Linked DNA regions of Stegostoma tigrinum. The protein of the gene in region 1 interacts with the protein of each later gene in a pairwise test. Links are inferred from orthologs where the notes say so. Each region holds a gene or a part of one and is shown in the gene's direction. Other genes may lie near its edges.

Region 1 (7,349 bases):
GATCTTGGAATGTGCCAGCCTGCAACACTCTGTCGAGATCAACTCCTTGCTCAGGAAGACCAACAAGTTTCGGGCAGACTAAAGAGCATCTTTTACCAAGTTGGTGGTCCTCCAGGCGCAGTCAATTTTTGCCTGGGTGTGTGTTCTGGGAACAGACTCCATGACACAGAGTCCCGCATCATGGAGCTGCTCAGGATGAACCTTGACAAAAACCATTGCATCTTTCTCTAGACAGAGATTTCCAGTTACTGGCTGCTCACTGGAATATACAAGAATTTTCGAATGAATAGAAGAGGTTCAGGACAGAGTAGAATTCTCTACCCTCCAGGACTGACTTGAGTTACCAGGAATTTAAGATTAATCTCCAGGACACAGCTGGAAACAGCCCAGGAAAATAAATTTCCAGCACAATTCAAACATAACAGGTTTCTGAATGAATAACAGGTTTTTGAACTTATTGGTTTCTTAGCTCTGAAGTTGACAGGGGAAAGGGGCGGTTTGACTGACAGCTAAGTTGTCCAATCAGGTTGTGAAAAATACATTGGCTTCAACTGGTTGGGTGAAGGGTGGAACACCCTGGTGATTGACATTTCAGTCATCCTATAGAGTAAGGAGATGGATCATGTGATGAGATCTGCAACAGGACCAAGGAGAGTAGCCATCACCTGTAAAGAGGAGAGAATGTATTTAGAATGGTGGATTTGGATCTCTGTTATAGTGATCGCAGCAAAGACCATTTATTGGTGAATATTGTTAGCTGGCTGAGTGAAAGTGGATTAAAAGGGACAACACATTGGAGCAAGATGACTGAATAGGATGAAGGCCAACGTGGAAGATAAACACCTGAATGGACTGAGGGTTCAGTTCCAATTTTGAAAATTCATAGATTATCAAAGCATCCTAAAATAATTCAACTGTAATTAATCATTTGTGATTTTACGTATGCTTGTATTTTACTAACTTCTATTCACAGAATTTATTTTAAAACATAACCGTACTCTCTAGGAGGGACAATCTCCTTGCCCAATGTGTATTATGCCTGGCAGAGCAACAAGATCCCAGTCTCAGTGCTGAGCTGATCCATAAGACCATCAGGTGCCTTTTCCACCTCCTCCAGCAAGATGCCACCACCAGACACATATTCCCCTCCCCTCCCTGGTCCGCCTCTGCAGGGACCATTTCCTCTGGGACGTCCTGGTCCACATTTCTTTCACCCCCAATCCTCCCCTCAGCCCTACGGCACATTCCCCTGTAACCGGTGAAGGTGCAACACCTGCCCATTTACCTCCTCCCTCCCCAGTATCCACGGTCCAAACATACCTTTCAGGTGAAGTAACACTTCACCTGCACTTCCCAGAATTTATTCGCTGCTCACAATGTGGTCTCCTCTATATTGGGGAAAACAAAGCATAGACTGAATGACCGCTTCGCAGACCATCTACATTCTGCTCGCAAAAGAGACCCTGAACTACCTGTTGCCTGTCACTTTAATATACTATTATGTTCCCTGTTCAACATGTCTGTCTCTGGCTTGCTACAGTGTTCTAGCAAAGCTCAATGCAAGCTGGAAAAACAACACACAATAAAAACCAAAATAACTGCAGATACTGTAAATCAGGAACAAAAACAAAGTTGCTGGAAAAGCTCAGCAGGTCTGGCAGCATCTGTAAAGGAAAAACAGAGTTAACGTTTTGGGTCCAGTGAGTCTTCCTCAGAACTGGAACTTTCCTCTGGAGAAACAACACCTCATTTTCCGCTTGGGCACCCTACAGCCTTCCAGACTCAAAATCGAGTTCAATCATATTAGGGCCTAAACTCTCCCATGTCCCAGCCCCCCACCCAACACACCAGGCCTTGTTACCACATAGCCTGCCATTACACACCACCTGTCGTTAGTAACTAACAGTCCCCCTTAACAACTATTCACCTTCCCAGCCAGATTCTTATCAACTCGTTTGTCTGTCCAACTGTTCTTCTCTCTCTTTAGGCTCTATCCTATCATTTACTCTCTACCCCACCCACCTCCCTATTTTCTGCATATAAACGGACATTTCCCAGCCACCATCAGTTCTGAGGAAGGGTCACTGGACCCAAAACATTAACTCTGATTTATTTCTTCACAGTTACTGCCAGACCTACTGAGCTTTTATAGGAACTTTGTTTTTGTTCCTGATTTACAGCATCCGCAGTTTATTTGATTTTTATTCTGTGCTGAGTTTGCTGACTGTATCCCAGGAATCTACAATTGACTTGGTGTCCCAGGGGGAAAAAGCAACTTCCACTTATTATAGAGTCATACAGCATGGAAACAGACCCTTTGGTCGTCCATGCCCACAAGGTTTCCTAACCTGAACTAGTCCCTTTTGCCTGCATTTGGCCCATATCCCTCTAAACCTTTCCCAGCCATGTACCTGTACAAATGTCTTTCAAATGTTGTAATTTACCCACCTCTATGACTTCCACTTGCAGCGCATTCCAAATACATACCATACTCTGTGTGGAAAAAGTTGCCCCTCAGGTCCCTTTTAAATCTTGCCCCTCTCACCTTAAACCTATGATTTAGACTCCCCTACCCTGAGGAAAACACCTTGTCCATTCACCTTATCTATGCTTATTCACTTTATCTCCACCACTCTCCAAGGTCACCACTCAGTCTCCGACGCTCCAGGGAAAAATATCCCGGTTAAACCTAGCGCCTCCATCCTTGTAAATTTTTTTTTGCACCCTTTCCAGTTTAATGACATCCTTTCTGTATCAGGGCGACTGGAATTGGATGCAGTGTTCAAGTACCATGGACAATGGGACCAATTGAAAACTGAGATTGCTATATTTTACATTGAGGGCTTCCCCCAACTACAGACAACAGGGTGTGAGCAGAGGGAGGAAAAGTTGACAGAGAGGAAAGAAACAAACACTGAACGATCCTTCAGGCCAAAAGACAGATTCAGCGGCCAGTACTCAAATTCCACCTGTTGTCTGTCTATCAGCCCTGGGAACAAACTCATCCAGAGGTAAATCAGAGGAGATTGTAATCCTGGGCAACCCACCATCTTCTCACCTTCACCCTGATGAAGGCTTTCTAAATGAGTGGACAGCTCACAGAATCCCTACAGTGTGGAAACAGGCCCTTAGGCACAACAAGTCCACACCGACCCTCACAGCATCCCACCCAGACCCATTCCCCTATGACCTACCTAATCTACACATCCCTGAACACTATGGGCAATTTAGCATGGCCAATCCACCCTAACCTGCAAATCTTTGGACTGTGGGAGGAAACCCACGCAGACACAGGGAGAATGTGCGAACTCCACACAGACAGTTGCCCAAGGGTGGGATTGAACCCTGACGCTGTGAGGCAGCAGTGCCAGCCACTGAGCACCGGTATCACCATTAAGGAACTTGTTGTGCCATTATTTTCCCACAGTGGGCTCGCCAGGTTGGATTTTGAAGTATGTTCAAGGCTGAGACTGATTTTTAATCAATAAGGGGATCAAGGCTTATCAGGAAAAGGTCGGAGAGTGGAATTAAGGATTATCAGATCAGCCCATGATTCCATGGACTGGCAGCGCAGACTCGATGGTTTGAAAGGCCTTCTCCAGCTCCGATGTCTCATGGTCAACTGCCCCCCAGCTCAGATGCACTAAACATAGTCTTCAGTTTGCACACCTCTAAGTGGCCCTGAAATCTGAGCTTTTTGATGTCACGTGGTGGCTGGATTTTTCCGGGGCGGGGGGGGAAGAGAGAGACAAAATTGGGACTGGGAGAAAACGTGAGGGAGAGAGAACAGAGGAAGGGGAGGATTGGGATGGGGAGGAAGCGATAAGGCAAAAAAAGAGGGTTTGGCAGAAAAGGGGTGGGGAAGAGAGATAAAGATGAAAGGAATGTGCAGCTGCACATTGGGGGTTGCAGTTATTTTCTGCGCTTTAATCCACCTTCCACAAACTCCCTCCTGTCCCTCCCCCCACAACGCCAAAATAGCTGTCCCCTTCCCTTTGCATTAAAATGACTCATTGACAGGGTCGCTCAGTGCTGGTTGTCTCTCTGCTTGCGCTTGTTCGTCCTGCAGGTCTGGGCATCGCTGGTATTCACACCCTGTCTCGCCCTCCCATCCGTGAAGCGTCAGGGGCACAGCTCAGTGACACTTTGTGGTGTTGGTGTGAGCCTCGGACAGAACGCGGGTAAGGAGAGTCACTTTTCTCTTCCTTTAGAGGATATTTACAGAGACACCAGCCATCTGCATTTCCCAAACTGAATTTAATTCTGAGACTCATCGAGGCCCTGAGTTTACACAAATCGCTCCATTATCACGCCCACTCTTGCCCTCAGTGCAGATGAGCCGCTCTTCTTTGTAAAAAAAAATCATCTCACAGCCTGAAAGGAAAGGTTAACCCCGTGGTTGCTGTCGGAAGTGTAGATGGTCTGTGATTATCACAGGGAGTTGAAATGCAGATTAACTGGGGAGTAGCGTCCAGTCAATTCTTACCAAATGCAGTCAGCAGATGTGCTTGGAAATTGATTTTTTTAAATATAAAAAAACCTCTCGGGGATCTCGGTTCAAAGACTTTCCGCCATGAAACACGAGGTTTAGAAAGAACCACGTTCTCTCAGAAGCAGGAAGCACACACTTCCTGTACATAAACATGGCTTGTTGTAAACTGGACTGGGAGGTGAGTGAGGTTTTTTTTGGCCCTGGGTATCGATTTTTTTTGTCCTGTTTCCTGACCGCACTGGCAAACGCTGCAACGATTAGTACAGTCTAACAGACTGTGACGTGTTCACAGTTCAGTTGTTAGGATATAAAACAGTTAAGGCTGCCTTCCCTCAGAGAGCAGCACCCCTCAACTGGATTCGGGAACTCCAATCTTTATTAATCCATATGCTTGGTCTTCACATTGTAGGGCTGTCTGGAGTGGGGTTTGAACCCAGTAGCTTCTGATTCAGAGAGCGATCACAGGCAGTTGCACCACATGCACCTCCACTCTCCCCTACAGGGGGTGCTCCACCGGCCCCACCCTTGTCCTCCTGGGACTACATGAACTCATGGTCCTCTGTATTAAATGGGTGCTTCCCCCTCACACTACCCCCATTCAAAAAGAGTCACATCAGCTGTATTGTTCACCCTGCCCCTTAAATGGGCCACATTAGCCATCTCACCCTCTCCAGGGCCCTTTAAAGGGACTACATTCATATCCCACCTCTTACTAAATGTGGTATATCTGATTTTTTTTTTCCTCTGTATTCTATCCCATATAGGGGGCAGATTGACACCCTCTCTCTTCCCTTCACATCCAGGACTTTGCAATGCCATGTTCTTGGAACGCTGGGTCTTCCCAGTCATTGACCGGCCTGGGTTTTCTGATATCCGTTGTGTTTGAGAGACAGCACTGCCGACCCCAGCGGGTACTGAAACTCTGGATGAGTCTAGTACCATGCTGTGGTTTGTTCAGTTATTTGGCAACATACGGCAGTGCCCAGAAATAGGAATTTGGAAATATTGTTCCCTCCCACCTCAGAGGCTCGTGTTCCAGGGATTACTTGGCTGTGGGCAGTTCCTGCCTTTGGGGCAATCTTAGAATGATTTTATGAATAACCTTAAACCGTGTTCACATTGGCCCAGAGAATGAGAACGGAGTGGATGTCACTGAATGCCAAGGGAAATATCAGTCTCTCAAAGAATTCAAGAAAGACCACAAACAAATCTCTGAGGGATATTACAAGGAAACAGAACTCCAGTGAAATGTAATTGGAATTTCTTTCTTAGGCACAGATGATTGAGATAGAGATGTAGAATAAAGGCAGAGTAATTGGGATTAACAGAGAAACAGAGAGAGAGAGAGAGAAACAGAAAATTACAGACAGAAATAGAGACAGAGACACTTTAGGGAAGCACTAAATATGAAACACAGACGCTGAGAGTGAGAAAGGCAGTGTGTGTCTCGCATTAAACTGTATCTGGCTGAGTCTGTAAGCACGCTCTCACTGTCAGTGTGAGGTCAACATGTGAAGGGGTCACGCTGCAGTGTGTGTGATCCTCTTGTCCCTCTCAAACCTGGATCCTTCCTCTCAATCTGCCAAGTCACCCTGACCTCCCAGGGTGTTCGTGCTGAGTCACGCTCTCTCAGCTTCTTCCCTCTTGCTCAGGCTCCTCCCTGGCTTTTTAACCACTGATTTAATCAGGAAACACCCAGGAGAGTGTGCAGTTTGCTGGGAGTCTTTATCCTCACAGAGCTCATTCCCGTGTAAAACGGCTTTCTCCCTGGTGTCTGATCCAACAGGTAAGCTGGACGTTTGATTGCATAAAATTAGGCTGTCATTATCCTGTCTCCCCCGCAGTGTTTTTGCTTATTTTCATTCCTCAGCACAAAGGGCTCATTTATCACGTGTGCCTACGTTTGGCGGATGGTCTCACGTTGTCTTCTCTTGAGCCGAGTCACTGTAGAGACAGTGGGCGCTATATTAACACAGGTTCCAACATGTACCACACCACCTCCTCCCCCCCCCCCCCCCTAAACACCAATTCAGCCGTCTGCACCTCAACTGGAGCACCATACCCAAACTCAGCCAACTCGATGTAAACTCTTGTAGCTTGTGTTAGACGTACAGCCCCATTACTGGTTCTCCTGGCAACCAGGGATCTCCCAGCTCATTCCCTGCTGCTCTGTTGTGGCTCAGAAGGTATCCTGGTAAACAAAGTGCTGAGTTCCATTTTTCTTTTCCTCACTCTGTTTTACCTTTGATAACTGGTTGCTGCGCAGAGACATGTGGATGGAAGGAGTAGGTCAGTATTGGTCTCAACGCTGACTTCCTTCACTTCGCCATCCTTTACGAATGTTGTCTGGATGGAGTTAAAAGGAGTAATTTAACCTTACATCTTCAAACCCACCAATTTTCTGGTTGTTTACAATTCATCAGGCCTTCAATGAGTCTCCCCCACATGAGAGACAAGACACTGGTTAAGAACATAGAACAATACAGTACAGGAACAGGCCCTTTCGCCCACAATGCACAGACCTATTCTAAACTAATCCCATTTGCCTGCATATGGTTGGTATCCTTTTGTCCCTGCCTGCTCATGTTTATCTAAATGCCTTTTAAATGTTACTAATGTATCTGCTTCCGCCATCTCCCCAGTAGCGTATTCCAGGCACCTATCACCCTCCATGTTTTTAAAAAAAAAGGACTTTCTACGCATATCTCCTTTAACCTTTCCCCATCTCACCTTAAACCTGTTGTATTTCCATCCTGGCTCCCCACCCTAACCGTGCCCTTCATAATTTTATATACATCTATCAGGTCGCCCCGCAGCCTCCAATGCTCTCGTGAAAATAATCCAAAGCTTATCCAAC
Region 2 (7,699 bases), on another chromosome or scaffold:
AGAAAAAATAAAATGCATCTTTTTCTGAGAAGGGTAAATGGAATAAGTTATCTTACGGAACACTACTTGAAATATTACTGAATAAGCGCTTGTAAACGCCGTTCCAAATGAAGGGGGGAAATCGAGCTAAATATGGCGAAGAAAAGCTGATTTCTAAATTAGCACGCATCCCGGAGTAGGTAATAATTTTCTAAAATGCCTTCATGTGTAATTCGCGTGCGGGAGATGCCTTGTGTGGGCGACGTGTTATGGTATTATCATTCCCACAACAGCGCTGGCGATTAAGAAGTTCTCGTTGGCGACCTCCACATTCCCAGCCCTGTGTAATGATCCCCCTCCCGTGCAATCGGGCCGGAGTGCGGTCAAAATAACAATCATTCAACTGATATATATTCTAGAGAGAGAGAGAAAAAAATACACCTAAAAAGGAAAGAAACGTCGGCACTCAGTTGTGACAATTTAACAATAATCGCCGTTAGATCCCAAAACAAAAGGTAATACTTTCGAAACGTTAGGGGCAAAACAACATCGAAACTGTGCGGCCATCAAGTGAACGGACAGCAATTGCAAAACAAACGCATTTCGCCTTTCCAGGCAGCGCGGCTGTTGAAAAGTTCACTCCTTCGATAATGAAAACGAAATGAGATCACTAGCGTGTTGGACGTGGCGTTATCAAATCGAGCTTTGTTTCAAATAGGTTCGATTGGTACAATTTAATCTGTTCATTTAAAACCACATCACTGACCCGGTCGCGCTGGGCAACTGAACTTCGCGCGGCTGCAAGGTTTTTTTGGGGGGGGGTGGGTGTGGATTGAGGGGTGTGGAATACTTGTATCAGCTATCGGACTGCTATAGCCAGTCCCGCCAGATAGCGCTAAAGGGCTGTCTATAAGAACGTGCCTTGCAATGAACTTCTCGCCGACCACGGCAGAACATCTGCCGAAAGTTCACGTCGCCTGTTTTCTCTCTGGGTAGTGGCGAGTTTGAGGGAAGCTATGAAAGAAAAACCTGGTGCGTTTAATATATGACGGTTTACAGGTAACGGATGACCCACTCAGTGGGGAGATCTTCCTTCAGCCTGGATTTACACTGGGGTCAGACAAAGTTCACCAATAATCGCCCTCGATCTTCCTTCCTATCTTTTTGTTGTCGGGGGAGGGTGTTTTGGGAAGGGGGGGTGTGTTGGGGGGAGTGGCGGTGGGTTTTGAAATCACGATCTCTAAAACAAACAAACAACCTGTAAAACCAATACAGAGCCCGTTTAGAATATAGAATTCTTGGAAAGCTGGTGAAATACGCTGCAAACTGATTCAACTCTGCTTTTACCTCATTTCCCGAACAAGCAGAGACTTCAAACTTTTGCAGCGATGAATTGAATACATCTTTCACAATCCAGGGGGCAAGAAAACGCACGCTCCGAAACAACACACACATAAACTTGGACTGAAGTACAATCAAAATCAAATCAAAACGAGCGTTAACTGTGGTCAACGCGGAGGACATTCAAATACGTCTCTTTTTAACGAGGTCGCGAAAGTAACTGCAAGTCTCCAATATTTATCGCCTTCCTTTCTTGTCTCCTTCCTTGTTATGACTTTGTATCAGATATTGTACTTCCCAGCGTTCCATAATGAACTGATACCTTGATTTGAAACAAATTGTAACGTTAAAAGTTTATATATGGATGCTCGTAATAGTAAGCACGCTTTAGATTAGTCGGCTTTCATCCTTCAATATAGCAATACTGCGAGGTTTCTAGTCATTTTCTACATCTGAATAGAACTTAACTAAAAGTTACTCTACGAAGAGGTTTATTTCACTTGTATTTGTTTTTTGGTGATGAAAACGAAAAATCCACTTTTTACTACACGAGCAGATTACACAGCGCGGTAATGAGGCTGAGCTTCGCTCAACAAAATGAGTTTGCTTCGGAACGTAGTCACATCAATATTTCAAACGCTGCAGTTGGATAAAATACACACACACACACATTGAAGGGAGTGGGGGGACAAGGCGTGCTGAATCCAAGGAAGTTTGGAGACATTTACCATTTTGGTCGGTACACTTGCAGTTCCAACAACAACTGGCTCCTTCGCCCTCTGATTGTCTTAGTGCTGTTTTTTCTTGAAATAGATACTGAACTCTTAATGAATCTCAACACAGCTGGACTACTCTGACTGAGCAGTGATAGCTCTAACCCCAGGTTGACCCCAATTTGACACCAGAAGATGAAATTTTACCGGCTGTTAAAGCAATCTTCGGCTATCCCCTGCTATCTGTTTGTTGATGGAGATGCACTCCATAACCGGACACCGATTTGCATTATTTGAACGGCAGCTACTCGAATCCCTACTGAAATGTTATATAAAAGGCTGCATTTCGGGATTCGATTCTGAGAAGGTCGGGATATCTCGTATTGATAACAGAAATCTGTGAACTTGGAAAAAAGCATATACATAACATATTAAGTGAAGCAAAGCAACCGTTCTCTAAAACCGAAATCGAACAAGATTTGTTTAGGGAGAATAGCACTTACATATCATATGCGTATGTTATGTAAATATGAATATTCAGGAACAAAGTTGGTAACTCAGTAAATAAATAAAAGAACGGTACAGAAATGCTGTCCAGACTCTCATTATCTGCATTTGGAATTCTACTGTTTTGCAGTCAACTGTTAAACACAAGAGTGTTTTACGTTGAAGTACTTTCGTATTGTACAAAAACAAAACTTTATTATAATAAAATAGGTTTTTCTATCGATAAAATACAAGGTAGCCACTATTTATTACCGTGTTTTACTTACCGCCGTCCAGGGTCAATGGCGATTTGCAAGTCATTTGTGCTTTTATTAAATATTGACGAGTAACGTAGAAGATCATTTTCAAACTTTTGGACTCACACGAAATCCGAATGTGTACTTTGCTTTATGTTATAAAATAAAATGTCATCAATTCGACAAATAGAACACATGTCCCTTATTATTCGGGGCTTACCAACAGAACATGCCGGGCATGTTAGAAGGAAAATACCTATGCATATGGCTAGAATATTTAATCGGCGCAATCCTATGGGGTGCAACATATCCCGACATCCATACACTTTACCAGATCATGGAAATGGCACAATACCGCAGTCAAACCCATTGACAAAAAATGAGTCGGAACAAATGCATTTTCAATAGTCACCGATGACTGTCACACAACATTTACTTTTATTTATCACTTGAGAAAGTCCCCGCTCATCGCTGCTACCAGCTCGCCGCTTTAGTGCTCTAGAAAGCTTTCACGATTTTACAAAGCGCCTTGTTCCAACGCCGGGCTGCGATCAGAGAGACATTCCTTGCCGTTACCGACGAGGTGAGAATTCGTGGCCGGCTCGGTTTTCAAACTCGCCTGGTTCACGCATTGCGAAAACGCTGCAATTTCTACCCACCTTTCTTCTGTTGTCTTGTTGACTTGTTACATTAAAACACGGCAATCATTAATGTGGGGCTGGTCGGTTAGGCAAAACCATGGCAACGTTGCCGTTTGTGTACTGTTTGGCAATAAATGCCTATTAGTGAAGCACACTTACTTGAATGGCAGGACGCGGCTGTACTTACAGTGCTGCAGGACAAGTCGCAGTACAGTAGAGCAGAAGAATACTTATTAGAAGACCGTCTCGGAAGGCAGCTGGATCTTCAGAAGCTGTACGTCTTTCTCATTTTTTAAAGGGGGAAACAATGCGTAAAAAGTATTTTGAGAGCGAATTTTCGCTGCTGTCCTACATTGTCAACAGTCCTTGGTATACTCAGAGGCAGCGTCATGTTGGAATGCCTACTGGCGTTTGTCAACCGCTGCACTATGTTATTTTTTATGTGAGGGGTGTTTTCCCAAACATCATTGTTGTTATGATGCCTCGTTTAATCAAACTGTTTAATTGCAGTGGGTATTACTATCAACATCATCCTCTTAATCGTTCTCTTTTCTTTTTGCTTTATTGACCTCTTGAAGTTGCATTACTGCATCCCCGTGTCCGCGAAAAAAAGTGTACAGATTCTGCTTGCTTTGACAAAGTCGTGATTCATGTTTAATTTTGGAAATCAAATATCCCGTAGACAATGTATTTTGCCAATTTCCCCCCCCCCCCACCCCCCTGTGAAACCATCGATATGTGATGTCACACGCACAAAAGCCTGCATGTCTATTGATGAACCCAAACATTAAACGGAATAGACCGTTTCGGCCTTTGTGCGTAGGGGGCCGTGAACGAGAAGGGGGGGAAAGACAAAACTACTGCAATCGATGGGTCGACCATTGCTCCGCCCCTTAACTTCTAGCATCCCCTGTGATTGATGATCAGATGAAGCTATGATAATTGACTGCCATGATGTACGGCTGGGTGCATGAATTTGGATCCAGCGAAAGGATTGGACGAGATGCACAAAATTACTTTCCCTGCAAAGCTTTTTTTTCGTTGGAAAAGTTCATTTGTGCTCAAGGGGGTGAGGGACCACACTTAATTTTCTAAATAACACTGCAATTAGGAACACCATTATCTGGAGTCACCGCGACAAATATCTCCGCGTTACCCTGCAAACCACAACAATGCTAGGAAAACAAAAGTACAGCGGAGGACATGGATGACTGAAGGGGGAAATAATTCGAAGCCTGTTGAACTTGGGAGTCACTTACTCAAATAAAACCGGTGTTGCCTTCCCGAAGCAATCCTCTGCAAGACACACATCGGTCAGTCGTGAATGTGACCAGTTAACGAGTTTCACATATTATGTATTTGTTAAGGTACAGCAAGTCGGACACTTCCACTATTTTAAGTCATAGTTTCTGAGAATTGCAAAGGGCTTGATTTGAAGCAAGGGCTCTAGCCCTTACTTTGTGGGAAGTTCTGAAATATCCTAACATGTGAACAACTTTTTCTAAAAGCAGTTGTCACACACACAAAACAGAAAAAAAAATTGTACATACATGGGAATAATGAATCTCGCTAAGACAATGCTGATTGATTTAGAGATGTTTTACAATCTGACTTGGGGGAAGGGGAGGGGGTTCTCAGTGGGGCTTTTATTTCGGTTCTGGCTCCCCCCCCCCCCCCATGACTTGCAGCGGTCCGATTGCATAGTCTGCATATGAGAGACAGCTTGGCGTACGACTGGCTATGACCACCACTACTTCCGGGTTCCGTCATTCTCCCGCCGCCGCCGCTCAGCGCTGCCAGCGCATTATTACTGACAACACACTCACTCTGTAACCAACCAACCTCCCAACCTGCCACCTCCTCAATACTTACTGACAGCCACTTATTCAAACAAACAACAAAAAAAAAGCTACGAAAGAAGCCGAAGCTGCTTTCCACCCACTTTCTCGCTCTTATTTTTTTGTGTGCTGTTAACTCCTCGTGAACGTTTTTCATCGCTGTTTTTTTACAGTGAGATAGCGGTCCAAGACAGCGGAGTTGTTGCAACGGCAGATCATCATTCATTCAATACCTTGACAACCCTGCTTTGATTGACAGCTGGAGTGGCAAAAAGCCATGAGAGACGACAGTTTTGTTACAAGCGGGCTGTTGACGGGCCGATCGTAACCTTCAGTAATTATTTTTTTCTCTCTGGCTTGACATTTTTTTTTGCTTCTTCTGGAAAGAAAAAGAGGGAGAGAGAGAGAGAGAGCGGGAGAGAGAGAGAGAGAGAAAAAAAAGGCAAAGTTCCCCTCCTTCCTTGGGCCGCTTTAAACTGCGATAGTGGAGGATAAAGCAGAAGTCGGAAACTGGATTGGAAAAAAAAGGGATCTCGTTGAGTATCAGAACTAAAGCGGACTGGGGGATATTACAGAGACGGCACATCCAACAGTGTGGGAGCGCAGACTGATGGCGCAAAGGGTAGGTTTTCAATCTGCAACACTCACCTATCGGATAATCCTGTATCAGTGGGGCCTGTCTGAGTCCTCTCATCTACTGATGATGGCGGCCCGTGTACAACAGCAGCAATCGCAACCAAAGAAAAAATCTGTTTGATAGCAAACTCTAGTGTGCACGAGCATGTGTTGTGCTTCTTGTAGGTCTGCTGCTTTTTTTTTTCTGTTTAACGCGATTCTGTTCCCCTTTTCCCCCCCTCTCTCGCTCTCTTTCACCCCCACCCTCCCCCCATCCCCCACCTCTCCTGATCTTCTATTGATTTCTTCGATGCAGTACGATGAACTTCCTCATTACGGTGGGATGGACGGAGTTGGGGTACCGGCGTCCATGTACGGAGACCCTCACGCCCCCCGGCCGATCCCTCCAGTCCACCACCTCAACCACGGACCGCCGCTCCACAGCCAGCACTACGGCCCACATACACCTCATCCTAATGTCATGCCCACAAGCATGGGCTCTGCTGTCAACGATGCCCTAAAGAGGGATAAAGATGCAATTTATGGGTAGGTAATAAAATATAAAAGAACACTGACACGCTCCGCGGAGAGAGAGAGTTAAAAAAAAGCAGTTTATAACCAATTCAGTAGAAAGCCAAATAAAACTGGCAAGTTCAGTGGAAGCAAGTATCTAGCTGTTTTCTTTTTTTGCAAAGTTTAGTGTGCACGCACAGGGCTCTGAACTTTGTGTCCCTATTTTGGAATGAAGTCGGATCTCGTTTGCTCTTGGTTTGGAAGTGAAGCTTTGTTTTTTGCCAATCCACAAACGTTAATGATTATAGCTTTCTGGACTGACCGGAAGCTGCAAGTTTTTTTTGCACTGTTTCTGTTCTGTTAAGTTATGTTTTACTTCAAAATGGCTGCTGCCTTGTTGCTTAACTTAGTGGGGTGAATAACTATGTAGTATTGTTAAAATACAAATCCCAATTTTAGTCGGTACCTGGGAAATTGTAAGGAGCAATCCGGTTCTTCAGTTGTAAATTGCCAATTGCTGAGTGAATTGCAAGAATGAAGTGGTCTGTTCTGGACGGAGAGAGAGAAAGAGTGGGCAGATTGTCTTCATTGCCACTAGAAATCATACATAGTTTTAAGGGTTTCGTGTGCTTCAGAACTGAAAGGAATTGACCGAACTCCTCCTTGTCTTGCAGGCATCCTTTATTTCCTCTGTTAGCGCTGGTTTTTGAGAAATGTGAGTTAGCGACCTGCACTCCACGAGAACCCGGCGTAGCAGGCGGTGACGTCTGCTCGTCTGACTCCTTTAACGAGGACATAGCAGTATTCGCAAAGCAGGTCTACAATTCATCTTTTTTACAAACTGAGATACAATATGATGAGGGGAAAAAGACATACTAGCACTTATGATAACAGTCTTGCAGCAGTTTTTTCCTTAAATGTAACCTGTAAAATCGTCTTTAGGTGTACATCTGTGCAACACACAAGCATTTTAATAAATGTGTCAAATTACAAGTAATTACATATCATTTATGTACTAATTGTGTTCTACATGCTGTTTATTTAGCAAGCACACCTTGCCTTCTGAGACGCTTAAGACTTTTGCAAACTCTTAATACATTGCATTGAGCTCATTTATTTCACTTATTGTTTAGGTCCGCGCAGAAAAACCACTGTTCTCTTCTAATCCCGAACTGGATAACTTGGTAAGGCGTTCAACACTTTGTGATCTTTCTAACACATTTTCGATTTGATGTATATTACACGTGGCTTCGCTGCATGCACAGAAATCACTGCCCATTGTGACTGTTGGAACTGAGATGACCTTCTGGGGTTGG

The links. The genes of interacting proteins can lie anywhere in the genome.
Region 2: the proteins of oxidative stress-induced growth inhibitor 1-like (region 1) and meis2a interact in binary tests that used the Homo sapiens proteins (3 or more experiments, as listed by UniProt). The two-hybrid records come from large-scale screens. The link is inferred for Stegostoma tigrinum from reciprocal best matches to the Homo sapiens genes OSGIN1 and MEIS2.

The regions. Positions count from the first base shown.
Region 1 is NC_081369.1:3,054,293-3,061,641, forward strand, and holds the start of oxidative stress-induced growth inhibitor 1-like, read left to right. Parts: upstream 1-4,056; 5' UTR 4,057-4,181; intron 4,182-6,156; exon of another isoform or gene 6,157-6,278; intron 6,279-7,349. UniProt on the Homo sapiens protein: Monooxygenase catalytic activity. Involved in regulation of cytokinesis; promotes RHOA activity, probably acting locally at the midbody in late cytokinesis.
Region 2 is NC_081363.1:65,706,218-65,713,916, reverse strand, and holds the start of meis2a (homeobox protein Meis2a), read left to right. Parts: upstream 1-4,397; 5' UTR 4,398-5,865; coding exon 5,866-5,877; exon of another isoform or gene 5,878-5,886; intron 5,887-6,186; coding exon 6,187-6,416; intron 6,417-7,057; coding exon 7,058-7,199; intron 7,200-7,516; coding exon 7,517-7,567; intron 7,568-7,699. UniProt on the Homo sapiens protein: Involved in transcriptional regulation. Binds to HOX or PBX proteins to form dimers, or to a DNA-bound dimer of PBX and HOX proteins and thought to have a role in stabilization of the homeoprotein-DNA complex.